7 linked regions of the Canis lupus familiaris genome follow. The protein of the gene in region 2 binds, or shares a complex with, the protein of the main gene of each other region. Links are inferred from orthologs where the notes say so. Each region holds a gene or a part of one and is shown on either strand. Other genes may lie near its edges.

What was found.
Region 1: SNIP1 (region 2) and CRIPT share a complex: the UniProt entries of both Homo sapiens proteins name them as parts of the minor spliceosome. The link is inferred for Canis lupus familiaris from reciprocal best matches to the Homo sapiens genes SNIP1 and CRIPT.
Region 3: SNIP1 (region 2) and CWC15 share a complex: the UniProt entries of both Homo sapiens proteins name them as parts of the minor spliceosome. The link is inferred for Canis lupus familiaris from reciprocal best matches to the Homo sapiens genes SNIP1 and CWC15.
Region 4: SNIP1 (region 2) and SCNM1 share a complex: the UniProt entries of both Homo sapiens proteins name them as parts of the minor spliceosome. The link is inferred for Canis lupus familiaris from reciprocal best matches to the Homo sapiens genes SNIP1 and SCNM1.
Region 5: SNIP1 (region 2) and small nuclear ribonucleoprotein E-like share a complex: the UniProt entries of both Homo sapiens proteins name them as parts of the minor spliceosome. The link is inferred for Canis lupus familiaris from reciprocal best matches to the Homo sapiens genes SNIP1 and SNRPE.
Region 6: SNIP1 (region 2) and RBMX2 share a complex: the UniProt entries of both Homo sapiens proteins name them as parts of the minor spliceosome. The link is inferred for Canis lupus familiaris from reciprocal best matches to the Homo sapiens genes SNIP1 and RBMX2.
Region 7: SNIP1 (region 2) and SNRPB share a complex: the UniProt entries of both Homo sapiens proteins name them as parts of the minor spliceosome. The link is inferred for Canis lupus familiaris from reciprocal best matches to the Homo sapiens genes SNIP1 and SNRPB.

What each region holds. Positions count from the first base shown.
Region 1 is NC_049231.1:49,890,921-49,895,287, forward strand, and holds the start of CRIPT (cysteine-rich PDZ-binding protein), read left to right. Parts: upstream 1-1,507; 5' UTR 1,508-1,617; coding exon 1,618-1,633; intron 1,634-4,367. UniProt on the Homo sapiens protein: As a component of the minor spliceosome, involved in the splicing of U12-type introns in pre-mRNAs. Involved in the cytoskeletal anchoring of DLG4 in excitatory synapses.
Region 2 is NC_049236.1:4,999,164-5,003,288, reverse strand, and holds the start of SNIP1 (smad nuclear-interacting protein 1), read right to left. Parts: upstream 2,866-4,125; 5' UTR 2,731-2,865; coding exon 2,504-2,730; intron 2,364-2,503; exon of another isoform or gene 1,823-2,363; coding exon of another isoform or gene 1,821-1,822; intron 1,261-1,820; coding exon 1,158-1,260; intron 1-1,157. Other genes in the region: DNALI1 (axonemal dynein light intermediate polypeptide 1), read left to right, coding at 4,095-4,125. UniProt on the Homo sapiens protein: Required for pre-mRNA splicing as component of the spliceosome. As a component of the minor spliceosome, involved in the splicing of U12-type introns in pre-mRNAs. Down-regulates NF-kappa-B signaling by competing with RELA for CREBBP/EP300 binding.
Region 3 is NC_049242.1:6,122,917-6,126,524, forward strand, and holds part of CWC15 (spliceosome-associated protein CWC15 homolog), read left to right. Parts: intron 1-3,422; coding exon 3,423-3,541; intron 3,542-3,608. UniProt on the Homo sapiens protein: Involved in pre-mRNA splicing as component of the spliceosome. Component of the PRP19-CDC5L complex that forms an integral part of the spliceosome and is required for activating pre-mRNA splicing.
Region 4 is NC_049238.1:60,887,503-60,891,783, reverse strand, and holds SCNM1 (sodium channel modifier 1), read right to left. Parts: upstream 2,834-4,281; 5' UTR 2,690-2,833; coding exon 2,639-2,689; intron 2,428-2,638; coding exon 2,357-2,427; intron 2,124-2,356; coding exon 2,035-2,123; intron 1,960-2,034; coding exon 1,862-1,959; intron 1,741-1,861; coding exon 1,652-1,740; intron 1,015-1,651; coding exon 820-1,014; coding exon of another isoform or gene 676-819; coding exon 576-675; 3' UTR 515-575; downstream 1-514. Other genes in the region: TMOD4 (tropomodulin-4), read left to right, coding at 674-837; LYSMD1 (lysM and putative peptidoglycan-binding domain-containing protein 1), read left to right, coding at 3,570-3,749. UniProt on the Homo sapiens protein: As a component of the minor spliceosome, involved in the splicing of U12-type introns in pre-mRNAs. Plays a role in the regulation of primary cilia length and Hedgehog signaling.
Region 5 is NC_049222.1:93,813,276-93,815,478, forward strand, and holds small nuclear ribonucleoprotein E-like, read left to right. Parts: upstream 1-1,169; 5' UTR 1,170-1,188; coding exon 1,189-1,467; 3' UTR 1,468-1,629; downstream 1,630-2,203. UniProt on the Homo sapiens protein: Plays a role in pre-mRNA splicing as a core component of the spliceosomal U1, U2, U4 and U5 small nuclear ribonucleoproteins (snRNPs), the building blocks of the spliceosome.
Region 6 is NC_049260.1:102,430,669-102,434,825, forward strand, and holds the start of RBMX2 (RNA-binding motif protein, X-linked 2), read left to right. Parts: upstream 1-1,269; 5' UTR 1,270-1,398; coding exon 1,399-1,403; intron 1,404-1,598; coding exon 1,599-1,714; intron 1,715-2,974; coding exon 2,975-3,026; intron 3,027-4,157. UniProt on the Homo sapiens protein: Involved in pre-mRNA splicing as component of the activated spliceosome. As a component of the minor spliceosome, involved in the splicing of U12-type introns in pre-mRNAs.
Region 7 is NC_049245.1:19,125,468-19,129,814, reverse strand, and holds the start of SNRPB (small nuclear ribonucleoprotein-associated proteins B and B'), read right to left. Parts: upstream 2,817-4,347; 5' UTR 2,662-2,816; coding exon 2,659-2,661; intron 235-2,658; coding exon 83-234; intron 1-82. UniProt on the Homo sapiens protein: Plays a role in pre-mRNA splicing as a core component of the spliceosomal U1, U2, U4 and U5 small nuclear ribonucleoproteins (snRNPs), the building blocks of the spliceosome.

The sequences.
Region 1 (4,367 bases), on a different chromosome or scaffold from region 2:
AACATCACAGTAGTTCACCTCTTCTGGCAAATGACAAGCAATACCAAGTGCACACTTCAGGACTCAAATGGTGGCCAGTGTAATCAGGAAAGGCCAAAGAACATTATGCTAAACTAAGGGATCCCAATGCTCCAGAAATACCGAAATGACAATGTCCGTTACAGGTGCTAGGTTCCAATCAAAAGTAGGGCATAAGTAGAAGAAAAATCTTTCTTTCTCTCTATAAAATACACATCGTGGTATGTATAACATATATGTTTATTTATAAATTACCTAACGCAGAGCTTATACATAGTACTGGCTAATATCAAAGTAACAGTCCACATGTTACCCATGTTACACTGTGGTTGAATATTCCAGAAAAACAAAAGGGCAAGTCAAGGCCTTATCTTTACAGCTCTGATCTAGTTCACATTATAATTTTCCAAGGCAAATATTCTACTGATAAGGAAACAGGCTAAGGCACGTTGGGAGACATGTCCAAGGTCCCAAGCTCCCAAGCACTATAGCCACGTCAAACCCTCGCCTCTTTGACATAAATCTACACTCCAGGGGCCGAGAAGGGGATGAAGAGCAAGAAGGGAGGAAGGAAACCTCTCTGGCAGATCCGCTGACCAAGGGGCAGGGGCGCAGGATCCGGAATACACCGTCTGAGCGGACTATCCCTTCGGGTATGTTTCTGGGCCGCTCTCAGAATCCCAAGTGATATGGGCAGATGAGGCTCTAATACACGGAGCAGCACCCAACTGCTTACTGAATGAATGAACGAACGAACGAGGAGAAGAGGGTGGGCCAAAGGTCTGCCCCCCCGCGAAAGCAGCCGCGGGGGTGGGCCCTGGCGAGCACACCCCGGCGGCCAGCGCCCGCGCCCCCGCCCCCGCCCCCGCGGTCGGACCCGGCCCGCGCCCACCGCCCCGGAGGCTGCGGAGCTTACCCGCGCAACCCGCGGCACCTGCCCCTGCAGCCCCCCGCCAACCTCGGCCGCTCGGGACTCTGCCCGAGCCTCACCCCGCGCCAGTGTGAACGGGGGCGGGGCCGCGCTGAGAGGCATAAGCAAAAGGGCACGGGCGCGGAGACCGAGACGAACGGAGGGCGCCACACACAGGGACGGATCCGAGGGCCGGGTCCATCGGGGCTGCCCCCGGGTCACGCCGGAAGGGTGGCCCTCGGGCGGGCGGCGGGCGCCAGCGGGCCGGGGGCACAGACGCTCGCGGCCACGTGGGCAGTGGGTGGGGGCCGCTGGCACCCCGGGAGGCTCGCGTGCCGGGCGGGCGCCGCTGGGCTTACCTAACTCTCCCGCCAGCGGAAGAGGAGCGCGAGCTACCACCTCCCACCATCAGGTACGACTCGCCGCCCTGGCCAACGCGCAGGCGCAAGCCTGTGGGGCGGAGACCCAAGGCGGCACAGCCAATTGCAGGAGCGGAGGGGCGGGCAATGGGAGAAGCCCCGCCTCCCACGGCCTCTCAGGTGTGGGGTGGGCGGGGCGGTGGGCGGGGCGGAGGGCGGGGCGGCCGGAAGCGGATTTTCGTAACCCGGAAGGGGACGTCTGCCCCGGCTGTTGTGTTGACATTCTCGAGCTGCTGCTGTTTCTGCGGCCGGGGGAACCGTCGGGGAAGGATGGTGTGCGAAAAATGTGAGTTAAGGGGCTGACTCTTTGGGAGGAGGCCAGGAGAAGCTAGCAGGAGTTCTCCGGGGACTTCGCCTTTTCTTTGTCTTTTCTTTCGGCCACAAGTCTCTGATTCCAGCCTTTGTCCTTTATCCCTTTCACCGTTCCCATTGGTTTTGCATTCGGAGTGTTCTCAGTTTTGTACTGATTTGTCTATTTCCTTTGCCTCCCCCAGCCCCACCCCGGGATTTCATCCCATACAGCTCTTGACTGGCTCCTTAGCCTCACAGACCCTCAGCATTGGAATGGATCTTAAAAGTCATTTTTACAACACCCAGAGTTTCCAGATATAGCAGACATTTTAAAAATGAATACTTTTTTTAGAAGTATATCCCATGCGATATTTGAGACTTGTCTTTGCTCGCAGCTTCTTAGTACTGAAAGTGCTTTGGGCTTACCTTTAGGACATGACAATACTAAAACACCATTCATTGTTTATTTGAAATTTAAATTGAACAGGGCATCCTGTATTTTAACGAGCAACCCGAAGTTAGCATCCTTAAATGTTGACTTAAATGTTCTTTGCATGAATATCTGAGGTCTTGAGGCAGGGTTCAGAAAGCCTCACTACCTTCAAAACAGTCTGCGTAGATGCCACTGGCTTTTAGAAAGTTCCTTCTTGGGCAGCCCGGGTGGCCCAGCGGTTTAGTGTCACCTTCAGCCCGGGGCGTGACCTGGGGTCCCACATCGGGCTCCCCGCATGGAGTCTGCTTCTCCCTCTGCCTGTGTCTCTACGGCTCTCTCTGTGTGTCTCTCATGAATAAATAAATAAAATCTGAAAAGAAAAGAAAAAAAGAAGAAAGAAAGAAAGAAAGAAAGAAAGAAGAAAAGAAAAGATCCTTCATCCCTACAGTTGCCAGGCAGTGATTCTAATGCAAACCCTTGATGTTTCTGGAAAGTATCTTAGGATTTCTTTGATGTCACAGACTGTCTATATGTTTTAAAACGGCTCTCATATCCCTAAGTCTCTTTTTCCTCAGGCTAGACTTTTCTTAACAAGATTTCAAGTCCTCTTATCTGGATTAACATTAACTTGATCAATTCTGTTTATATTCTCCCCTCCCCCCCAGTAGATAAACCTTTAAACACAGGCACCCATGAGTTTGAATCACAGGTTTTACATTATGTAAAGGAATAACCATGGTGAATTACCTAATATTTCTTGGCTCCAGTTTTCTCCTCTGAAAAATGAGAATAATACATAATTTATGGGGTTTTGTGAGAATTAGATAATGCAGGTAAAGCCTGATATAAAAGTGCCTTAGTGTATACTCAAAAACTGGTTATTCCTATCATAACTCCCAGTATGTGGCACTCAGCATTAAACTCTGCTCCATTTTATGAGGAGTAGAGTGGGACTGATATTTTCATTTTTCTATGCTTTACATCATCATCTCACATGAAGCTTTTAAAAAATTATTGCAGTTCTACCAATTGGCATAGGTAGAAGTCACCCATTTAAAATGTGCCATTCTGTTATTTTTAGCGTATTCACAGGGTTGTGCGACCATCACCACAATCAATTTTAGAATATTTTCATTGCTCCAAAAAGTACATTAAGCTGTTTGACATTGACGTCCTTTTAACTCTACTCCATCCAATACTTATGAGGTTTTTTGGTTTTGCTTGTTTGAGTAACTATGTCTTACATATATTTAGGTTATGCACCTTCTCCATGTCTTTTCTCTTATGTAGGGTAGTTCCTAAACATGTAAATTAGCCTTCTTTGTAATTTGTGTTAATTCGGTACATTTTAACTTTAGAGGCCTGGCATTCTGACGGGCTTAACTTGTTTTGTGTGATGTTCTTTACACCATAAGTGCTTTTTTCCCAGGAAAATTGAGGATACTGGGCAAATTCTGAGAGGTAATTTCCTAAGGCACATAAAAATTTTGAGAAGCCAAGATCGGATGTGATGTTAAAATACACATAGTTTGGCTCTGGGACGTGATATATGTCATAAAGGTCATTTGCTTTTTACTTCTCTGCACTTCTGAAAGTCTGTATTATTTCTTTGCTCTAGTACCTTTCTACCTTCTGTACCATCTTATTCCCCAAATAAAAATAGACTCTTAATTCAAAGACCTTTCTTTCAGTCCCTTTCTGCTTCTCTGTGACTTTGAAACTTGATCTAGATTCTCTTTGAATTTACTTCTCTTCTTCTTTACCATTATAATCTCCAAGTTTTCTTATTCTCCCTCTCCCTTAAAGTAGATATTTCCCAGTGATCGACATCTGCCCTTCTTTTGACTCTTTGTTTTGGAAATATCTGGCTTCAAGTAGTTTATCCATGCCAGTGAATGTCTAATCCACATCTCCAGCCGACTTCTCTCTATACCAAGACCAATAGAAGAAATTTCTCCAGACAATACTGGGACCCTTCATCTGGTTGTTACATAGTAGTATAGTACTTCCAAGACTGAATTTGTCATCCTACTTTATAAATCTGTAACTTCTCTTCCATCATTTAATGGCATGGCAGTCCTCCCAGTCACCCATTCATAAAGCCTTATTCATCGCTCATTCGTTCTGGTATCCCTTTGTCAACCTGCATCCAAACACTTGCCTGTCCTGCTATTGTTACTTCCATTCAATAGCTCATATTTTCCCTAGCCTCTCATTTACCCCTTAAATAACCTACCTGAGGTCCCCATCACTCTTGAGTTAAACTAATGTGATCCCCTCCCAGCTCCTTTCTCTT
Region 2 (4,125 bases):
GCTCTACCAACGGAGACAGCCAGGCATCCGTTTTTGGTTTCTTTTTTTTTTTTCTTTTTTTGAGATAAGGTCTTTAAAGACATGATTAAGTTGACAGCAAAGCCCTAATCCAATATGACTGGTGTCCTTATCTGAAGAGGAAGAGACACCAGGGATGCAAGCCCACAGAGGAGAGGCCATGTGAGGACCCAGCCAAGAAGGTAGCCATTCGAAAACCAAGGAAAGAGGCGTCAGGAGAAACAAAACCTCCTAACACCTTGACCTTGGACTTTAGCCTCCAGAATTGTGAGAAAATTAATTTTTGTTGTTTAAGGTATCCAGTCTGTGGTATTTGGTTATGGAAGCCCTAGAAAACCAACACAGCCCTCCTGGAACACAGTCTGGCATGCAATCACCATGCCATTTAACAATGGCACACCTGGGCACTTATCCCAGAAAACTGAAGACGTGTTCACACAAAAACCTGTATACAAATGTTACACAGCAACCTTATATACACAATAACCAAAAACTGGTAACAACTCACTTGTCCTTTAATGGGTAAAGGGTTAAAACCACACCACTGAGTATCACTCAGCAATAAAAAAGGAATCAAATACTGACAAAGACAAGCTGAATGAATCTCCAAAGAAATGTGCTGAGTGAAAAAAGCCAATCCCTAAAGGTTAGACGGATGATTCCATTTACATGATTCCATTTACATAATGTTCTTGAAGTGACAACCGTTATAGAGACAGAGAGCAGATTAGAAGTTGCCAGGACTTGAGGGGTTAAGGATGAGAGACAGGCGGGTGAGACTATCCAAGGACAACCCAATGGGTCCTTGTGGGGATGGAAATGTTCGCATCTTAACTGTCACGATGTCAATACCCTCCCGGTGATACTGCACTGGAATTCTGTAAGATGCTACCAGTGGGAAAAACACAGTGAAGAACGTACCTCTGTATTTTTTATTTTTTAAAACAGCTGAGTGTGTAAATCAACAATTCTCAAAATTTTTTTAAAAAGGTGTCACAAAACAAGTAGAAAAACAACAACAACCCAGTTTCTAGAAACACCCGCTACGGATAAAGGTAAACACCTAGGATCATGTATTTGTCAGGACGGTAAGAGATTCTAGATTTGGACCTGGTATCAAAACATCTCGGTCCGCTTACCTGCTTCACTTTGACTGTCGAGTGGTGAGGGCTTCGGCTTCTCTTACTCCGAGGAGACTTGCTTCTTCTCCCTGAGGACTTGTTTTTCCTCTTGGCTGGGGACCTTTTTGGAGCAGGGTACACACAGGATTTTATCTCAATTTCCCTTCCCCCATATACACTCACAGTCAAGTGTCAGGCTTACTTACTAACAATACAAACAGCACATCCAGTGAAGGGCTCTGCTTTTCACACCAAGGAAGGCGGGGAGCTCCGCTCTCCAGCCCGGGACACCCTCCTTGAGCTTCAGACCCCCCCCCCCCCCCACACACACACACACAGAGCTGCCTCTGGAGCATTCTGAGAGCCTGACTCTTGCTTCCCAACCCCTCAAAGCCCTTTCCTCCCTCAGCCTCTGCCATCTCAGTAACGGGTATCACCATCCACCCTGCTTCTCAAGCCCAAAAAACCCAGAGAACCCCCCGTGACTCCCCTTTCCTTTCCCCAGCAATAGCTCCCGACACTCTCCGGCAACAACCACGTCAATCCGACAGCGAGTCAGTCCTCCGGCTCTAGATCGCCTCTCTCCCCTCCGTTGATCCCTAAACGACCCCTCTCCACCCCCACCCCGCACTCCCACTTCTAGAACAATCACATTAACCGGGCTTCAGCTTCTTTGCGCACATGGGTTTCCCCAGCCTGGACAATCCTTATCGTTCGGGTCTCAACGCAAACCGCACGTTTTCAGAGGGGCCTTCCTTCTCTCGCTTCCTTCCAAGGCTCGCTCTCACACCTCCGGTTGGAGCCGCTTCTTAATACTTGTTACATACGGAAACTATTTTATCGGCCTTGTTACTCTGTCTCGAGGCGGGAGCACACCCATTCCATTTCGCCGGGGCAAAGGCCGCACGAGGCCCCAGGAGCGACGGCTGTCTTTCTTCCTTTAGCAACGCGCTCACAACTTAAGTCGAAGGAATACACGGAGCAGTCCAGCAAGAGATGGTTTTTCTTCCAACTGCCTACCAGGTGGATCGCCTGGGCTGCCAAGGCGGAGGGCTTCTGGGGCAGACGTCTGGAAGGCCTAGTAGGCCGGCAGCCCATGTGCGGGCAGATGCGGAGGAGCCTTTATTTCGGGTCCATATGCGCGGTGTCCGGGCAGATGCGGGGCGCAGGGATGAGGGGGGCGGGATCCTGCGCATCAGGCAGGGGCCGCCGTAAACGCTCTCCCGCACAGCGCCACCGGCTCACCCCCCCCCCACCCCCTTTGACATGAAACCCGAGCAGCCGCGCTCGGCTCCCAAAACGGGGCTCTGACGCCAGCCCCGCCCCTCCTCCAAGTCCCCATCCCGGGCGCCTCCCCCACTTACCGGCTGCCTCCTCGGGCTCGGCTCCCGCGGTGCCCAGGGCGGCCCGGGTCGCCGGCCGGCGGGGACGCGCTCCCGCCCGAGGACTCGGGGCGGCGGTGGGCGGGCGGCGCGGCTTCCGGGCTCAGGCGCTCCTGCTTCACCTTCACCACCATCGCCGCCGCCACCACGTCCCCGTCGCGGTGCCTCCGCCGGGTGCCCCGCTCCCGCTCGCTCTTTACCTCCTTCATGCTGAGATACGAGCAGAGAGCGAAGCGGGGGAGGGAAACAAAACAAAACAAACAAAAAAAAAAAAAGAGAGAGAGAGAGATCCGTTGCGCTCCTCTCGCTAAAGGAAACGACGGGCTTGACCCCCCGCACTTCCGCTTCCGGGTGCGCGCTCTCCCAGAAACCCTTGCGGCGGCGAGCGAAGCACGTGACCACGACCCTGCAAGCGGGAGGGGCTGTCGGGAGCCGCTCGGGTGGCGGGAGTTTTAAACGTCAAAGAGACGCTTCTGGGCAGCCCGGGTGGCTCAGCGGTTGTTTAGCGCCGCCTGCAGCCCGGGGCTGGATCCTGGAGATTCGGGATCGAGTCCCACGTCGGGCTCCCTGCGTGGAGCCTGCTTCTCCCTCTGCCTGTGTCTCTCATAAATAAACAAAATATTTAAAAAAAAAGAGGAAACAGAGAAGGAAATGCAATCACTGACAGCCCCCCGGGGGGGTGGGGGCAAGTCATTACTATCTTCCCTGCTAGTCCTGAGCTTCGTGTTATGTTGTCACTTCTCCATTTAATTTAAAAAATGAATTCTTAATTTATTTACTTTTTTACTTTTTTTTATTTATTTTTTTTTACTTTTTATTTTCAAGTCCTTTCTAGAGCCAGCGGTGGGGCTGGAACTCCCCACCCCCATATCGACGTCTCACCCTCTACTGACTGAACCAGCCAGGTGCCCCTCGCCCCAACACAAATACTTTTTAAAACTGGGGAGCAAAAAAATTATTTTTAATTTTTAAAAAGAAAACCAGGGAGCTCCGGGAATCCCCGGGTGGCTCAGCGGTTAGCGCCTGCCTTTGACCCAGGGCGTGACCCTGGAGACCCCGGATCAAGTCCCACGTCGGGCTCCCTGCGTGGAGCCTGCTTCTCCCTCTGCCTGTGTCCCTGCCTCTCTCTCTCTCTCTCATGAATAAATAAAATTAAAAAAAAAAAAGAAACCGGGGAGCTGCAGGTGCCTCCCTCTGGGAATCTGCAGATTCCCAAGCCTCCACCGAGGAGTCACAGGGCTCCCATTCTGCAGGTGACAAAGTTGGCGGCCAGCGAAGGTGACCGTGCGCCTCGTTGCAATGGCCTGCGAGCCGCAGCGTGGGGACTCCGTTCCCGTTTGGCGTGGTTTTCCAGGAGCATCAAGGCGACCCGCGGGGCAGGAACCGCGATCAACCGAGCGGGAGGAGAATTCCTGGCGAGGCTGAGCGGGAACTCTGCGCTGCTGGCCCCGCCCCATCCGAAGCCCCGCCCAGGCCACGAGGCGCGGCGGGGGGGCCGGGGGGTTTCCATGGTGACGGCAAACAAGGAGCACGCTGGAGGGGCGGCCGCCGGACTCGAACCCGCGTCGCCGCCATGATCCCCCCTGCGGACTCTCTGCTCAAGT
Region 3 (3,608 bases), on a different chromosome or scaffold from region 2:
TCTTTTTTTTTTTAAGATATTTATTTATTCATGAGAGAGGCAGAGACATAGGTAGAGGGAGAAGCAGGCTCCCTGCAGGAAGCCTGATACAAGACTCGATCCCAGGACCCCAAGATCACGACCTGAGTGGAAGGTAGACAGCCCCTGAGCCACCGAGGTGCCCCTGGACTCTGTCTTGAAGGCCATGAAGAGCTAGTTGATTTTAGCAGGAGACAAGATTTGATATGCATTTTATTTTTTTATTATGAAATATTTCAGTAACATAGAAAAATATAAATAATAAATTTAATAGTCATCTACTTGGCTATGCATTTTAGAAGGATAACCCTGGCAGAAGTATAGAGGATTGGGAAAACTGATTGAGGAAGCTGTTCCAATAATCCTCATATGCAATTAAGATAATTTTGCATAATAGAATTGGAATTGAGAGAAGTAAATAGATGCTGAGAGAGTTGTCAAGGAGGTAAAATTGACCAGATAAAGTGACTGGTTAGCTATGGCAACAAAGATGACCCTCAGTTCCTGGGTAGATGTTGTTGACATTAACTAATACAGGGGATGGCAGAAGGATGCACATGTTTAGGTGGAGAGAAAAGAGATGATGAGCTCTGGAACGTGTTGAATTTGACACATTATGAGATACTTAGATGGAGATGTCTGTCTCCACTTTCAAACAGAACAGCTCAGCTTTTTTTTTATGAGCTTCTGTGTAAATTTTCATTTGAACCAAGAATTACTCTGTTTAAAGAGGGGGGAAAGACTGACATGGGTTCATGTGAGGAATCCAGAGAAGTAGAAGATTGCTGGAATTCAAATTGGAAGAATATTTTATTTATTTATTTTTCAAAGAATTTATTTGTCCATTCATGAGAGAAACAGAGAGAGAGGCAGAAACACAGGCAGAGGGAGAAGCAGGCTCCACGCAGAGAGCCCGATGCGGGACTCCATCCTAGGTCTCCAGGATCACACCCTGGGCTGACCCGGCGCCAAACCGCTGAGCCACCCAGGCTGCCCAAGAAGAATATTTTAAATACAATTTCCATCAAAGTTTGGCATTGGATAGCGTGATTCCCATAATAGCTTATAATTGTCATATTTAATTTTTAAAAATCAAAGAATTATAAGAACTTTCCTGATAGTAGATATTACTTGCCCACCACTAGAGGGCAGTTGTATTCCATATTCTTTTGACTTGCCTAACAGCTCTGGATACATAGAGACAAGAAATATAGGTGCATTTGGTTGACCCTTAAAAAGGATAAATATTTTAGACAGAAGGTCTTGGAATTTTGTAAGATTCCTCTACTCTCTTTGTACAAAAATATATTGGTGTTCCTAGGGGTTGAAGGACAGTTTTACTTTGGTTTCTGTTTCCCTGGCTGGTTTTCTAGCGGCTGATTTTTGAAGTGTCCCAATATAACATTTTCAAACCAATTAGCCTGTGTCAGGGGCTAGGAAGCTTTCTGTAAAGGGGGCCAGATGGTAAATATTTCAGGATATTTCTAGCTTGCAGACCATGCAATCTCTAGTGTGGTTCTTTAGTTCTGCTCACTGAAGTGTGGAAGCAACTATAGACAATGCAGAAATGAATGAGTTTACTGTGTTCCACTAAAATTTTGTTAACAACAATGGGGTGGTTTGGATTTCATCTGCAAGCTGATTATAGCCTGTGTTTGTGAACCATAATGTTTCTGGGACTTGAATATGGAAAGAGTTGGCACCTTTTTTTCCCAGTGGTTTATGTGGCAGCCAGCCAGGACTCTAAAGGAAGTAATATTCCAAATATAAAATGGCCAGAACTTTATTATATCACATACATTATTATAAGATGGATACGTTGTATGTTTGAGCTCTTATTTTTTTAGAATCTCAGAGAAATGTCTTTTCACTTTCAATATCAATATAATTTGCAAAAAAATACATTGTTTTTAGAAAGCTATCTGTTCTTAATCTGTGATGGAACACATGTGCCTGATTTTGTTTGCTTAAGGTCTGAGTAGTGACCTAAAGGAATTTACCTGTTTATTTCCCTGATTATTGCATCTTCTCACTTTCCAGTCATTTGGCCTCTTAAAAATGAAATCTGTTGTTCACATTTGGATATTAAAATGAAACATCATTAACCTGTATGGAAAATTTTGAACTTTCTTAGGCTTTGTTTTTTTTCTTTAAGATTTACTTATTTGAGAGAGTGTGTGTGTGAGCAGGGGATGGAGAGAATCCCAAGCAGATTTCCCTCTGAGGGTGGGGCCTGATGCAGGGCTAGATTTCACTGCCCTGAGATCATGACCTGAGCTGAAATCAAGAGTCAGATGCTTAACCAACTTAGCTACCCAGATGCCCCTGTTAGGTTCGTTTTAAATTGGAAGTCCCTGGGGATGCATGGGTGGCTCAGTCAGGTAAGTATCTACCTTCAACTCCAGTCATGAGGCTAGAGTCCTGGGATCAAGCCCCATGTCAGGCTCCTGGCTCAGCGAGAAGCCTGCTTCTCCCTCTCCCTGCTGCTTTGCACACATGCTCTCTCTCTCAAATAAATAAAATCTTTAAAAAAAAATAAATTGAAGGTCTCTTTTTCCTTGATCTATTAAGTCATCAGTTTTCCCCTTCCTAAAATACAATAAAGTGGGATTTATTTTTGGTTTAAGAGAGCATGAACAGGTAGATCTAGCAGTTGCTATGGCTAAGAATTGTAGGCATTTTATGTTTCTAATTCTAAGAATGAAACTGAGGCTGATTTGAGTTTAAAGAAATTAATGCTAAATTAAAAGTAAAGAAAGACAAGCTCATAACTGATGAAGGATGAGAGGTATGAAAATGGAAAGTTAGTAACAAATCATAAGAACAAAATGGATAAACGTGGGGTAGATTAGTAGAAATGCATGTTAACTGAATATAATATTTTACATGATAGTTTTAGCTACTTATGGGCTAATAATAACTTATCACTAGTCCTGGAAGTGCAAATTTACACTGTTAATAATTCAAAATAAAATTATTTTTAATCATAGTTCTATATAGCCCATCTTTAAAAATCAAAGTAATAGCTTTGCTAAATGTGTTTCTTTGATGTTTAACATACCCTTAAATGACTAGAATGTATTATTGATGGACTCTTAAAATAAGCAATTAATTTTGGATGTACTTCAAGAAAGAAAACATTTAAATAGGCATTCATAGAATTTCAGAGTCAGACTAATGAATGTAGACAAGCATGAACTATTTATTATAAGGCCAAATTATTTTGGTAAGTGAAACTTTTCTGGTATTTCTTATATCTTAAAAAACAAAACAATAAACAACCTACCTTGATGCTTATTCCTTCTCCATCATAAAATCCTAACAATCTTTTAAAATTTGAGTTATGAAAGAAGATTGACCCCAGAATTAATGTAAGTAAATGAGTCCTCCTCTGTCATTGACAGGAACAAGAACAGAAAGCTGAAGAAGAAAGAATACGTATGGAAAACATTTTGAGTGGAAACCCTCTCCTTAATCTCACTGGTCCATCCCAGCCACAGGCCAACTTCAAAGTTAAAAGAAGGTACTTTACACAACCCAGTTGGATGTATATTGCAGATTGTGCATTTTATGCCAAACTATTATATAAA
Region 4 (4,281 bases), on a different chromosome or scaffold from region 2:
CTCACAGGGTACCTACTACCCCAGCCCTCTTTTCAGATACGGGTAGGGCCCCTGGTGTCTAACTACAACTTCATGTGATCTGAAGGAGGAAAGAACTTTGAGTGAAGGTGGGGAAGAAGGCAGACAACAAAAAAAAAAAAAAAAAAAAAAAAGAAGGCAGACAACATGAAGGGCAAAGACCTCCTTCTGACAGACTTATTAATAGGGCATTGGGCTGCATGCAGCTGACGCTTGGCAGTACTTTGGTTGAAGGTGGGGGAGGGGTCAGAAGTATGGGGAGCTGTGTACATTTCAGGGAAGAATGGGCCTGGCTGTCCTGAAATGGGGGACACCTGAAATGGGTGGCTTGGTTGGTTAATCAGAGTTTGACTCTTGATCTCAGCTCAGGTCTTGATCTCAGGGTCATGAGTTCAAGCTCTACATTGGGCTCCACATTGGGTGTGTAGCCTACTTAAAAAAAAAAAAAAAAATCCACCAGTGAAATCCTGAAATGGGGCAAGGAAGTAGACTTGAAGAAAGTTAGACTCCTGGAGCCTGCTGAAATTTATTTGTGAACTGAGGGGGAAAAGAGGGTATCAGTCTAAGGAAAGGTCAGGAGGTTCCTCTTCATCAGAGTCAAACTCAACATTCTCATCTTTTACCCATCGACCTTGTCCATCTGGGATCCATCCAGAGCTGCAAATAACAGAAAATAGAATAAATCAGGAAAAGAGGTTTAAGAAGTTAATGGGGATAAGAGAAAAACAATTGAGAAGGATTGAAATAAGAAAACTCAGAAAGAAAAGAGAAAACTTGAAGAAAGTGATTCTGCATACAAACCTTCGAAGGGTGAGGTAATGATCCAGGGCTCGTTTCCTCGTGGGGCTCATGGGCACAGGGGATGAGACAGTTGCTGACTCCTTGGCCTGTGGGCCAGCTCCAGGCATGGGTTCCTTAGTGATCTTCCCACTCTCAGGCTCAACCTCTGGGGGTGGTAAAGGGGGATGGGAGACAGAGGGACGAGGGGTTTCTGGTCTAGGTAGAGAAGAATCAACGTCTATAAAAGTAGTAAAGGAAAAAGGCCAATTCTCCTATGACTCCCAATCCCTTACAGAAGTGTTTCCTAAACTGTGTTCCTCAAGATATTAGTAAATGTCTTGCATAAAAAAAAGAATTTTGGAATCATATGAATTTTTAAAAGGCTAGTATAACATTTTGAGGGTTTTTTTTTTTTAATCTTTAGACTTTGTAGAGCCCTTCGAATATATTAATATTACTACTCTTCAAGTAGGATCACAAAGTGCCATTTCCTGGGGCACCTGGGTGACTCAGTGGTTGAGTGTCTGCCTTCGGCTCAGGTCATGATCCCGGGGTCCTGGGATTGAATCCTGCATTGGGCTCTCCACAGGGAGCCTGCTTCTCCCTCTGCCTATGTCTCTGCCTCTCTCTGTCTCTCATGAATAAATCAGTAAAATCTTTAGAACAAAAACCAAAGTGCCGTTTCCTAAACTTAAAAAAAAAAAAAAAAAGCAACATTCTCTTTTTTTTCTGAAATATCAGTAAACATCTCTGGAGTATTAATATTCCTGAGAATACAATTTGTAATACCTTTATCTTAGAGCCATCTATCTCCTCTGACCCGCCCTACCTCTGGCTTTCCCACCCCACAGACCTGTGCTTCCTGCGGCAGCAACTGTTATAGTGAGGAGCTCTGTGCAGAGCACTCTGGGTGGTAAGTCGGGTCTGCGTTAACAGAGGAGCCTGGTGTGGAGATGGGAAACACAGTCAGTGTCTTCAGAGCTAGAAAGAAGTCGAAGCCCTTCAAGCCTAAGATGTGCAGCAGGCCCACCCAAAACACACCCTCCCCTCCCTGATTACCTACCTCAGCCTTGATCTCTGACTGCCTCAATTCATTCTGCTGTCTTGGATTCTGCTCCATTCCCTTTACTGGCTGCTTCTTGCCATAGAAAAGCTGCAGGCCTGAAGGTAGAGGGGAAGAGAATTAAAAACAAAACCGCAAGAGTGATCTGCAGAGATTTGTCTTCCCTCACTTACTGGACAGATGTTTCTTGCCTGCACGGTGGGCAGTCAGCATGGCCAGGGTGTCCAGTACAGGTCGGTGGGGACAGATAGCACAAGCGAAGCTGGAGAGGAGGGTAGAAGATATTCGGTGCCAGGTGAGTGGGGTCTGGTTCCACCTGGACCTAGCAACCCTTTCCAAAACCAAACTCTAGGGTCTCCCAATTTCCACCACCCACATCCCTGTCCCTCATCCCCCATCAGAAAATCCTAGATACTCCCGCTCCCCCCTTGATAACAAAATTATACGAAGCCTATAACCGCAGCACCCTCGGGCTTGATCACCCCTCGCCCTCACCGTCCATCCCGTAGCATGAGCGCTTCATCCTCTGGGATATAACTGGCCAGCAGGTCCCCGACTCTCCGTTTCTGCAGGGGGTAGCCGGACGGGACCAGTGGGAGAGGAGGGAGGGGTCAAAGATTGAAAGGCAAAAAGGACCATGAGAACAGAGATCACTGGGCGAAGAAGGGGTCACTACCCAGCTCTGGTCGCGCCGGCCCCGCAGCTGTTGCCAGAGCAACAAAACAGCTCCTTCACGGGGCAGTGAAACTGTTCCCGATGCTCCCCTCTCGCGCTTACTTTGAGCACATTGAGTTGACTCGAATCATCCCCTTCCCTCTTGAAAGACATTACGACTGAGCTCCAGAAGCGAACAATTCTCCCGAGCCGCCTCGGCCACTCCTCTCAGGCCACCGTAGCGAGAGTAAGGCGTCTTCTCCCGTCGGGTTTCTTTCCGGTTGGCCTCCTTACTTCCCTAGATGCACAGCGCTCGCGGAAAGCCCGCCCACAGCCTGCGGAGCCGACCGCACTGCCCACGCGACCCGGCGACCCCGCAGGCGCGGGGCGTTTTGGGAAATGAAGTCTTTTTTTCAAAGGGCTTGCCACCCAGCTGGCTCCCGGCCCTTGCATCTTGGCTGATTCGAGGCGTCTGGGGAGACAAGAACTTAAATGTGGAGACCGACGTTGAGGCCGTGACGGATTTGCTGAGGAGCGGGCCTTGGAAGATCTCTGAGTGGAACGTGTAGTACAAACTCTCGCGGTCCTCACGCGCCTCCCTGGCCGCCGACAGCCCACCAGGAGGGGGCTGGATTTATTCCTGACACAAGCCGACCAACCCGGGACGAGGCGGGGCCGGGGTGTGAAGGGAACCTGGGAGGCGGAGGCTGCCTGACCTGGGGGAGAGGGGCGAGCTGAGCGGAGTGTGGAGGGTAACTACGGTTCAAAGGTCAGAGTTCATAGTGGTGGGAGGGTTGAAAGTCAGCGGGGTGCTAATAAGGAGAGACTCTGGTAGGGACTGGATCCTCGGGATACAGATTCGTGGGAAGGCGCCTGGGAAGCGGGACAAACGAGAGCCGCGGGGGCGCGAAGTGCCGGGGCAGACGGGGGTTTGTGAGAGGAGACGGGGGAAAGGAACCCCCTGGATAGACGTCCCTCGCCCCCAGCCCCGTGGCTGTCGGCACTTAGCCAGGCCTCCCTCACTTGCAACCCCAGCTGCCGGCGGGGTGAGGAGATGGCTTCGTCCTCTAGACAGGCCCCCCTCGGGGGGTCAGGACTGCTACAGGGGAGCCGGGCTCGTTCTTACGGAAGCCTGGTGCAGTCAGCCTGCTCCCCGGTGAGGGAAAGACGCCTGGAGCATCAGCTGGCCCCCGGAGACACCCTGGCTGGACTCGCACTGAAATACGGGGTGACGGTGAGTCTTCCATGGTAGGGATGCAGACAACCACTCAGAAGAGATTATTCCTCATTAGAATGTAATGACCCGGCTAGGCAACTTCCCCTGAAATTTCCTAATTGTGTTGTGGTCTGACCCACCTTTATCTTTTTGTTCTCCCATCTCAGTGTTGCCTTGTCTGGTTGGGACAGACCCTGTGCCACTATCCGGGTGGAGAGGAGCTGCTTCTATTTATGCCAGTCTCTATTCTAGAGGTTTTACATACATTGGCCCATTTGGTTCTCCCATCCCCGTCAAGCATACGTTTGTTTACAGATGAAGAAACAGACTTAGATTGGTTAACCAATTTGACCAAGGTCAAATAACCAATGAGCATTAGAGTGGGAATTCAAACAGATCTGACTCCAAAGCTCGTAATATTAACCACATGGAAACTTTTTAATTGCAAGTGATTAAACATTTACAGCAAACAGTGGAGAGTTGGTTTCTAAGGTTCTTTGTGAGACCAGTGCTCTAACCACTCTAGATCTAAGTTGTTGGGTTTTTTTTT
Region 5 (2,203 bases), on a different chromosome or scaffold from region 2:
TAGTTCAATATCCCAATCTTCTTCTTTTTTTAAAAAAGATTCCAATAAATAAATAAATAAATTAATTAATTAATTAAAAAAAAGATTCCATTCATTTATTCATGAGAGACACAGGAAGAGAGAGGCAGAGACACAGGCTGAGGGAGAAGCAGGCTCCATGCAGGGAGCCTGATGAGGGACTCGATCCCAGGTCTCCAGGATCACACCCTGGGCCGAAGGCAGGTGCTAAACTGCTGAGCCACCCAGGGATCCCCAATATCCCTATTTTCTTAGATGTTCCCTTGAGGAAGGGGATCTGCATGTCTTAGAGGTGCTGGACTAGTGCCCTGTGAGTTTCTTGGAACTCTGAAAGTCTATAATCTCTACCAACTCCTCAGTTACTGCCTTTCATGATATGTTTAACTAATCAGGAAAGGGACAAGGAGCATAGACTGCAGGAGCCAGACAGACTAGTGTATTAATTTTCTGTAGCTGGGTAACAAATAACCATACACTTAGTGGCTTGAACACATACTCATTATCTCACGGTTTCTGTGGGCAGGCATTTAGGGATGGCCAAGCTTGGTGCTATGCTACAGGGCCACACAAGATTGTAATGAAGGTGTCAGCCAGGACAGAGTTCTCATCTGCAGGAGCCAATTCTACATAGGGACTATAATAACTTGGATGTGTAGATTTATGTATTTCATCAAATTTGGAAAGATCTGCTCACTATGTTTTCAAATATTCTTTCTGCCCCTTTCTCTTTCTTCTCTTATTCTGCAGCTCCAATCAGGTGTATGTAGGTACACAGGAAGGCATCCCATACATTTTTGTTTGTTTCTTAAGTTTCTCAAAGAGTGATCCTTAAGCCAGAAGCATTGACACCACCTCAGAAGTTGTTAGAAATATAAATTCTGGGGCACCTGGGTGGCTCAGTCAGTTGAGCATCTGATTCTTGGTTTTGGTTCAGGTCATGTTCTTGCAATCATGAAATTAAGTAAGCCCTGTGTTGGGGCTCCATGCTCAGTGGGGAGTCTGCTTTAGATTCTTTCTCCCTCTCCCTCCCACTCATGTGTTCTCTCTCTCTCAAATAAATAAATAAACAAATAAACAAATAAATAAATAAATCCTAAAAAAAAAAAAGAAATGTAAATTCTTAGGCCTTGTTGCAGATGTATTAAAGAAACTCTGGGGTCCGCTTCCACCATGGCGTACCGTGGCCAGGGCCAGAAAGTGCAGAAGGTGATGGTTCAGCCCATCAACCTCATCTTCAGATACTTGCAAAATAGATCTCGGATTCAGGTGTGGCTTTATGAGCAAATAAACATGCGGATAGAGGGCTGTATCATTGGTTTTGATGAGTACATGAGCCTTGTATTAGACGATGCCAAAGAGATTCATTCTAAAACAAAGTCAAGAAAACAACTGGGTCGGATCATGCTAAAAGGAGATAATATTACCCTGCTCCAAAGTGTCTCCAACTAGAATGAATGATCAGTGAAGTGAGAAATTCTTGAGAAGGCCACGTAGTTTGTTTTTTTAGATGTCCTTTGTTGGGAATATAGTTCTAAAACCCTTGTTCATATTGTTTTGATTACCTTTATGTTCTTACCAGAGGACAATAAATGCTGTGGGATTGTTTTTATTAAAAAAAAAAAAAAAAGAAAAAAAAAGAAACTCTGGGGATGAGGCCCAACAATCTGTGTGTGTGTGTGTGTGTGTGTGTGTGTACGTGCATGCGTGCATGTGTGTGTGTTTTAATTGAAGTTGATACACAATGTTATAGTAGTTTTAGGTGTACAACATAGTATTTGACAAGTCTACATATTATGCTATACTTACCGAAAGTGTAACTACCATCTGCCACCACACAACCCAATTACAATATCATTGATTGTATTCCCTACCCTGTACTTTTCATTCCCTTGACTTATTCATTCCATAACAAGAAGTCTGTACTTCTTACTCCCTTTTACCCATTTTGCCCATCCCCCTAAACCCCCTTTGACAACCACCAGTTTGTTCTCTGTATCTATGAGTCTGTTTCTGTTTTGTTTGTTCCTTCATTTTGTTTTTTTAGTTCCACACATAAGTGAAATCATATAGTATTTGTCTTTTTCTGTCTGAGTTGTTTCGTTCAGCATAATACCCTCTAGGGCCATCCACGTTATTGCAAATGGCAAGATCTCATTCTTTTTTATGGATAATAGTCCATTGTGCT
Region 6 (4,157 bases), on a different chromosome or scaffold from region 2:
CCCAGGAGCAGATAAAACCTGTATGCAATCTGTCACTGTTTAGTTTTCATTGCCAAGATAATTCCATAAAGTTAATGAATAGCTGAGCTGGATGGGGTGGGGGCACAAACACAGAATGAATGAAGGGAAACTTTGATTGGTGGAGAGTCTCCTGCTTTTGTCAGGATGTGGGTACATGATGGGTCATTGAGGGTACAGTTGTCATAATCCCATCATCAAAGTACTTTTATGAAATGCTTAATTTCTGGGGCTCTAAGCTGGGCCTACACAGAGAACTACCCAGCTCTGGAACTTCACTTTTAGACCAGGCATGGTCTGATACCAGTTATTGACATGGACACATATGAGATGGATTCAAAACTTCAATATGGCTTATATCACACTGAAGGTATGCCACCATACCTTCTATGGGTTCCTCATTATTTCTGGAGTGAAATCTACCAAGCAAATATATTTTGTCTCCTTAATGATATCATTAGCTCCAGAGGGCAGAGGACTTCACCTTACATTCCTGTCTACAGATTTTACTGTACAAGACAAATATAGATCCTCAGTAAGGACTGAGTAAGTCAACAAGACCTGATAGGTAGAGGCAGAGGACATCCTTTGAGTTAACTAATTCCTTCGAATCTCAGTTTCTTCCTCGGTACAAGGAAGGTAATTGTATGTATAGACTCCATGGGGTTAGTTATGAGGAGGGAGGGCCAGTACAAGTGAATTGCTTAGCACACAACGTAGCATATGCTTAACTATTAGCTTTCTCATTATTTATTTCTGCCTCCTGCTTAAGTAGGAGCGAGACTATGGGAAAAGGGTGAGCTCTTAGACAAATCTGGGTATTCGATCAGACTGGTTAGTTGCCTATGCATTTGGATTTAAGGGAGAAAAAAATGATTTCCCCTCTCACATACCTTCTTCACTTTTCTGCTGCAATTTCTGATCAGGGATGGTTTGAGGGGTGTGTGTGCGTGAGCGACTGGCTGGGAGTGGAAGCCCGAAAGGGGATTTTCACTGAGGATAGAGCCAGGGACTACAGTTGCTAGAGCAGCACCTTTTTCAATCTCAATTCAGTAAACATTTATAGCTAGCCCAATCAATGCCAGGCGTCCTCCAGCAGCTGAGGGTCCTGTAATAAACCCGCTTCACACCCATGCCGCGTTTCACAGACGGACTAAGCGAGAAGCTAGATAGAGTCCCTGATAGAGCGAAACACGCAGAGCGAGCCAAGGGCCTCTCCGCGCTACTACGCAAGCGCAGCTCCCCAGCGCGCCCGTCTTTCCGGCGTGGCGCAGCGCGAACTCCGCGGAGTCCAATGGGCGCACGGCATCGGCGCTGCGCACGCGCGACACAGACTCACCCGGAAGTTAACGTCTCCGTGCTGAGCGCGAACCTGAGGAGATGAAGTAAGGCCTCAGTTTACCTCTTAAGAAGTAGGGACCGGCCGCGGGAAGTTGCCCACCGGGGCTGGGGTGGTAGAGAGCCTGCGGGGCCGAGGGGTGGGAGAGGCGCGGAGACTGGAGAACTAGCCCTCTAGTTCTGCTCTCCCTTACCTCTGGCCAGGCCGCACTTAACGGCCGCTTTTCCGCCTCTCTCTGCAGCCCTTTAACTAAAGTGAAGCTGATCAACGAGCTGAATGAGCGTGAGGTCCAGCTTGGGGTGGCAGATAAGGTGTCCTGGCACTCTGAGTACAAGGACAGCGCCTGGATCTTCCTGGGTGAGAGTCACATCTTTCTGCACTGCTCATTCTCTCCTGGTGCGCTTCCTAACCTTTCAGCATTCCCGCCTTTCCTTCCTTCTGACGTTCATCACGCACTTAGATTTCTTTCTTCTGGCTGCCCCGTAAATCCGTTTTCTGTATCTCTTTTCTCTTCCATTTCTAGTTTGCTCCTCCTGCCAAGTCAGTGACCATAATAGTTACCTTTGCCGTTCACTGTGGTCCTTGCCACTTGGTTTCAGAGACTGTTATCATACCGCGCCCCCCTGTTACATAGCTGAGGAGGTTAATGGACTTCCTTAAAGTCACATGGGTAATAAGTGGAACAACCAGAACTATGGGATTCTAGAACTGATGATCTTAACCACCATCTTGTATTACTGCTAGCGCCCCCCCCCCCGCCCTTTCTCCTTCCCTCAGAATTCATTTTCCTCATTTACTTAACTTCTGCCTTCTGTCCGTGGCCATATTGTCATCTCTGTATTCACTTGTGTCGCATCCAATAATATGAAAGTTTGGGCAAAGAAGTTATTGCACCAGATATTGTGCTAAGCACTTTATGTCCATTGTTTTATTTAATTCTTACAACAGTTCTGTGAAATAAGTACTAATATCCCCATTTTACAGATGAGGAACGAAAGATTTGCAGGGGAATTTATTTCCTATGAAATGCTGAACAGTTGTCTATAGACAACCAAAGATTCCTTAGTCTATGTGAGGTGGGGTAATATTTTCATATTTAAACTGATTTTGCTGTAATCTTAGCTGTGAGTTTGTGAGTTCCGGGCACCTGGGTGGATCAGTGGTTGAGCGTCTGCCTTTGGCTCAGGTTGTGATTTTGGAGTCCTGGTATTGAGTCCTGCATCAGGCTCCCATTTCTCCCTCAGCCTATGTCTCTGCCTCGCTTTCTGTGTCTCTCATGAATAAATAAATAAAATCTTAAAAAAAAGAGCAGGTGAGTTCAAGATATGTTTGTGGAAACAGAGTTTTATGCTGCAAACTGTCTGCTTTGCAAGGTTTTGGGTGTGGGGAGTATTTGGTTAGTGATGACACTGACCTTTCCACAAAGTTAATCACTCCTTTTGCTGCACTAGTGCCGCACCTTATATATGATTCTGTTAAATCGTCAGACTGTGAGTTCTTTGAGGGCAGGCCCTGTGGCTTACTCTTCTTTGCACCCACATTGCTGGGCCTAGTGCATGGTATGGAGGAGATGCTTGGTAAATGTTTGTGGAACTGAAATGTGGTTTTCTCTCCTAGGAGGGCTTCCTTATGAACTGACTGAAGGGGACATTATCTGTGTGTTCTCACAGTAAGTCCTTTTTCATTTCCTGCCTTCTGGGTCATCAAATTATGCTTGCTTAATACATTTTGTGGCCTCACAAAGTCTATTTGTTTTATTCTAGTCTGACTGGGCTCCCTGCATGGGGAGGGCTGGAGCTTCTGCTCTAGTCTAGATCAGCCCCAGGACATGGTTATAGAGCTCCCAATATGGAAAATCCAAGAAGTTAGATGATTTAGGAGGCTGTCTTGGGGATTCTGGTCTATTTTTATTGCTTTTTAAGTGAGGCTTGTTCAGCCTGTGCCTACACCAGAATAGACTTACTCACAGGAAACTACCATGTTGGACTCCTTGGGCTCCTGCAAACCCAAGGGTAATCCATGATCACAGGGCCCTTCTGGCCTACACCTGTGTGGTGTTGTGGGATTAGGGCAAAGCACAGAGGAATGGGAGAAAAAGCAAAAAGTTTAGGCAGTTTTCTTGTTTCTAGATGGGTATAAGATTAGTAAGCAGAACCGGTCTCTTTACCCAGAAGCTGAGAATTATGGGCTGATGAGGAACAAGGATGAATAGGTGAACCTTATATTCTTCATTCTGCCCATAGATGAAAGCAGCAGCATTGGGTGGGAGAGCATCTTGCACTGGTGGTGGCGGCTGGTGGGAGAGGGGCTGGGCACAACCCAGAGCTACACAGAGTGGTTAGACAGTCCATGGGGCCTTAGGGACCCTGAGGGCAGAGGACTGTGGCAGAAGGATTTGGGGAAGTAAACACTGCCAGCACACTGTGGCGGAGACATTGCCATGTCAGGGGATGGTGGGGCCGTCCAATAGGAAGAGGACCGTGGCTGAGTGGTGGAGCAGCTTATGGAGGAGAGGGCCATGGAAAAGAAATTGGGCAGTACCCATGAGAGGGCCATGAGAGAGGGCTTCGGCAGCCCACTCTGGCTTAGCGCCCAAGAGAGACAGAGGCTGCTTTCTCTGACTTCTGGGCAGCTGGAAGTTTACAGCAGGTGCAGCCTGTAGTTTCCACCCCTTATGATACCTCTGTCTGGTCCAGCCTTCATAGGGGCTGTTTTTGTCTTATTTGCGTTGAGTGATGATCAGCTAGTGTGTTTGCTTATTCTAATTCTCTATTCTGGCTGTACACCTTGCTCTCCATGA
Region 7 (4,347 bases), on a different chromosome or scaffold from region 2:
ATCACTACCTGTTGCTTGGCCCACCCACCCAGTCCATTTCCCTCACAATTTAAATCCCACCCCCATGCAGCCCACTTCTCACTTGATTTTCCTGAACTCATCACAGTCACAGAGAATCAAATTCATATGCTTGTCAAAAGCCTTGAAGGTGCCAATGAAGATCCGGCCGTCTTGTAGGATGCACCTCATCCTATAGTCGATGTGCTGCAGCATCTTGCTGCTCTTGCCCACAGTCTGCAAGGAGAAATCAGCAGGATCAGAGTCAAGCTCTTTTGAACCTATATATCCCTGGTCCTTCCTAAAAACCAGCTCTGGCCTACTTTTCCACATGGCTATCTCTCTCAACAACTTCTCAGCTCTGTCTTCCTTTCCCGGGGAATTCTCCCACACCCAGTGTTCAGCCCAGACCTCTGCCCACAACTCTCTTACTCTCCCTTAAAATCAGTCTTTTTCATATCACAATTGCCTGTGTGTCTGCTGTGTCAGTTTCAGGGGTGAGGAGTAAGGTATCTCCAAACTAATCCAATCCCCCCATACCAGATTAGCCATCTGCCACTATGCAGGTTACAGGTGTGTGACTCCAGTGCTGTGGAACACCCACAGCCCAGTTAAAGGACCGAGTAAAACAGCTGGAATGATTGGCACTAAGGATCCAATCAGCAAGAATCTATTATCAGAAAGGAGCTGATGAGCTTGGAGGCAAGGCAAATGGAATCCCTAAACGAAAAATGTTAATGTGCCTCCAAAACTGTCTTTGGGAGGGAAACTTTCTGGTGGCCAGGGTGCTCATCAGTTTGAACACATAATGGTCTTTAAACTTCTTTATCAATCCAACAACCTTTTCTGGTTTGTAGCCTGGCTTCCAAGGTAGCTTTGGTAAAAGACAGACTAAATAGAACTCACAACGCAAATTGCCAGGTGCCTTTGGCAGTTATACCTCTCTAGAAATAACCTGGCATTTGATTTGTGTATCAGCCTTCCAAGTGTCGTCTTCTTGCCAGTTACTGTGCTTGCTGTTCATCTCTGTAAGCTTGGACAAGAACAGGTTTTTCAACCCACCAATGTGTGGATCAGAGCCTTGCCTAGAGACACAAGTTATGTGGCTCACTCTCCCTCAAATGACTGTTAACCAGCTACAAGCTGGTTAACTTGAGTCCAGTGTCCCCATTTAAATCTGCCCTCTAGATTCTAGCCACACAGATCTGAAGCCTTATGGCAACATTTACTGGTCTGTCCACCTTATAATAGGTAAGTCTTCCTGGTCGTTCACTGCGTACCAGGCACTGTGACAAGCACTAAATATCTTTTATTTTTTTAAACATTTTATTTATTTATTCATGAGAGACACAGAAAGGCAGAGACACAGGCAGAGGGAGAAGCAGGCTCCATGCAAGGAGCCTGATGTGGGACTAAATCCCGGGTCTCCAGGATCACACCTTGGGCCCAAGGCAGATGTTTAACTACTGAGCCACCCAGCAGTCTCTAAATATCTCATTTAATTCTAAAAACCAGGCTAATTATTATTCCTATTTTACAGATGCAGCCACTGAGGTCAGGAGAGGTTAAGTAGCTTGCCCCGTCTCACAGCCAGGAAGCTGGTCTGGAACCTAGACAGACTGAATCCAGTGCCTACTCTTCCAAACCAATCCTACAAACAATCCCCGGCTTTCGGTTCACCCAACACGCAACAGCCACAGAACAGAGCGCTCTTTCTAAACACAACTGCGTCCACGTCATTTCGCTGGCTACATCCTTCCACGGCATCCCTCATCACCAACGGGATCAGGCAGCATGGAAAGCCTTTAGTAGCCAGGTTCCTGCCAATTCCTCCCATCTCTTCTTCCATCCCTTCCCCCTCGACCCCTCCAGGAACCCTCAACAGTGCGGCCCTTCACGCCCTGCTCTTGGAGCCCTCCCAATCTACAATACTCCCTTCCATCGAGGCTGGGGAGACTCCTGTAACAACCTGTTAGGACTCTGCTCAGGAACCATCTACTCCAGGAAAACGTTCTTATCCCGCCCCCCCCCCCGCCCCGTTACTTTTACGCAGCGCTTAATTACCACTCTGGATCATATTACCTGCGTCCGCAACTAGAAAGCGAAAGGAGTGGAGTAGCCCCAGTGCCTGAGAAGCCAGACACGCTCACACAGACCTGCCCCACAAAGGAGTTGAACCCTTCCTCCATCTTCGGTTTCCCTCCCATTCCCTCCTCCCATCTGCTAGACCCAAGCACGCTCTCTAGTTTCGGCCAGAAGTCCTCCCCGCTTTCCGCAAGTCCCCCTCAGACCCTCACCCCGTTTCACGAGTCCTCCTGAGGCTCTTATGTCTGCTCCGAAACCCCAAACGCGCATTTATTGCGCAAAAGTTTACTTCGTGCCTGCAGGATCCCAAGCACCGTGGCTACAGCGGCGTGGACAGCCGCGGGCCCATCCTCGCCACCACCTAGCGGCCCCGGCCTCCGTCCCTCGGCCCCAGCCCTCCCTTCCCCCAACCCGTCCAAAGGCCACGGTCCGAGTCTCCCCCGCCCAGACGCGGCGGCTGCGGCCCGGGCCTTCGCCGCCATGAGCCCCCAACCCACGACCTCCTCCCGACCGGCCGCGGTGCCCACTCCACGACAGACTCGGAAGTTCCCGCGCAGCCGGCCTGCCCGTCCTCACCATGGTGGCGGTTCTGATGGCTCCGATTCCCGCCGGATTGCCCTCAGCAGAGGCCTAGACGCCCGCTACTACACCGCTTCCCGCCGCCGCTACCGGAAGTGCGGCCGCGGATAAAATGGGGTCGGGTAAAAACTACTTCCGGCCCGGCGTCGGCTCTTGAGTTCCGGCCAAAACGCCGACCTGGGAGCCTAGACGCCCGCGGGAGTTTGGGGCGGGGCTAACGTCAAACAACATTTCCCGGGATGTTAGGTCACCTCCCTAGCTTCAATCGGTTCCGGAGCTGCCCGCACGCCCCTCCCCATTACCTCTGGGTCTCCAGGTCCCACCGCTCTTCCCTGGCCTGTCCTTTTCTGTGAACTTGCTGGACGAGCTCCTGCCTTAGCACCTTTGCAATGCTAGTCGTCCAGGTACCTGCACGACTCCTGCCCGAACATCCTTCAGGACTTCAGCTCAAGTAACATTTTCCCACTGAGGACTTCCCTGGCCATCCTTATTTAAACTGCAGCCTTCCCGCCCTTACCTGCTTTATCTTCCTCCTTAATGGTGATCCCTAATATACCGTGTTTCTGTTGTTATTCCTCCCCATTAGGATGCAAGTTCTGAGGGTATAGATTTTCCTTTGTGTATTTTTCGTTACCGCAATGCCTAGCTCTAAACATATTTCCATGAACAAATGAGTCAATCAACCAATCCCATCCAGTCCTATGACTTGTGAATACTACCTAAATGCTCAGGAATTTCAGATTTATTCCTCTAACCCTGGGTGCTTTATTTAACTCGTGGCCAAAATCTCCAGCCACCTGCTTGACCTGGAGGTCTAATATACTAAATATAACATGGTGAGGGACGCCTGGGTGGCTGACTGGTTGAGCATCTGCCTTTGGCTTAGGTCATGATCCTGGGATCCTGGGATCGAGTCCCGCATCACGATCCCCGCAGGGAACCTGCTTTTCCCTCTGCCTATGTCTCTGCCCCTTCCTCTCTCTCTCTCTCTCTCTCTCTCTCATGAATAAATAAAATCTTCTTTTTTTATTTTTTTAAGATTTGCATGGGCCAGAGCTGGTCTACAGTCATCAGGCAAGCCAAAGATGGGAGCAGGGTCACCGAGGGACTTGGATGTGCATGGGGAGCCAGGGTGACATTGACACAAAGCATATACTGCATAGTGTCTGCACCTGAAGGGCTGCAGCAAACAGATATATCATGCATATTGGGAGAAAATAAAAACAGCATAGCATGGTATTATATTCCATTTCCACTGGGGAAAAGATTATGCTAGGAATCCCATTGCTGACAAACTAGGGCAGGTGTACAGCTAGGTTGTCTTCGAGGGATGATGGGGGGTGTCACTAGCAAGGTTGGACTCCAGGGATGAAGGGCTGAGGGGGCATGGTATCAGGGCTGTGTTTAGGGGTCTTTAGACCTATGAATTGACACAGGTAATAGCTAAGAAGCCTAAAGCAGTAATTTGGGGGCTAGAGAACAGTTGGGGGACAGTTAAAGGACCTGACCCTGGAATCTGGAAGACTGCAGTGGGAGTGTGGTTAAAGGGTCCCTGGATCCAGAGGACATGAACAGACCACTGAGGAACAGCAGTACTTCCAGAGGGTAGAGAAAGATTCAACAGAGACCTGAAGAGACAGGAAGGAAGGGAGGGAGGGACGCAGGGAGGGAGGGAGGGAGGACCCA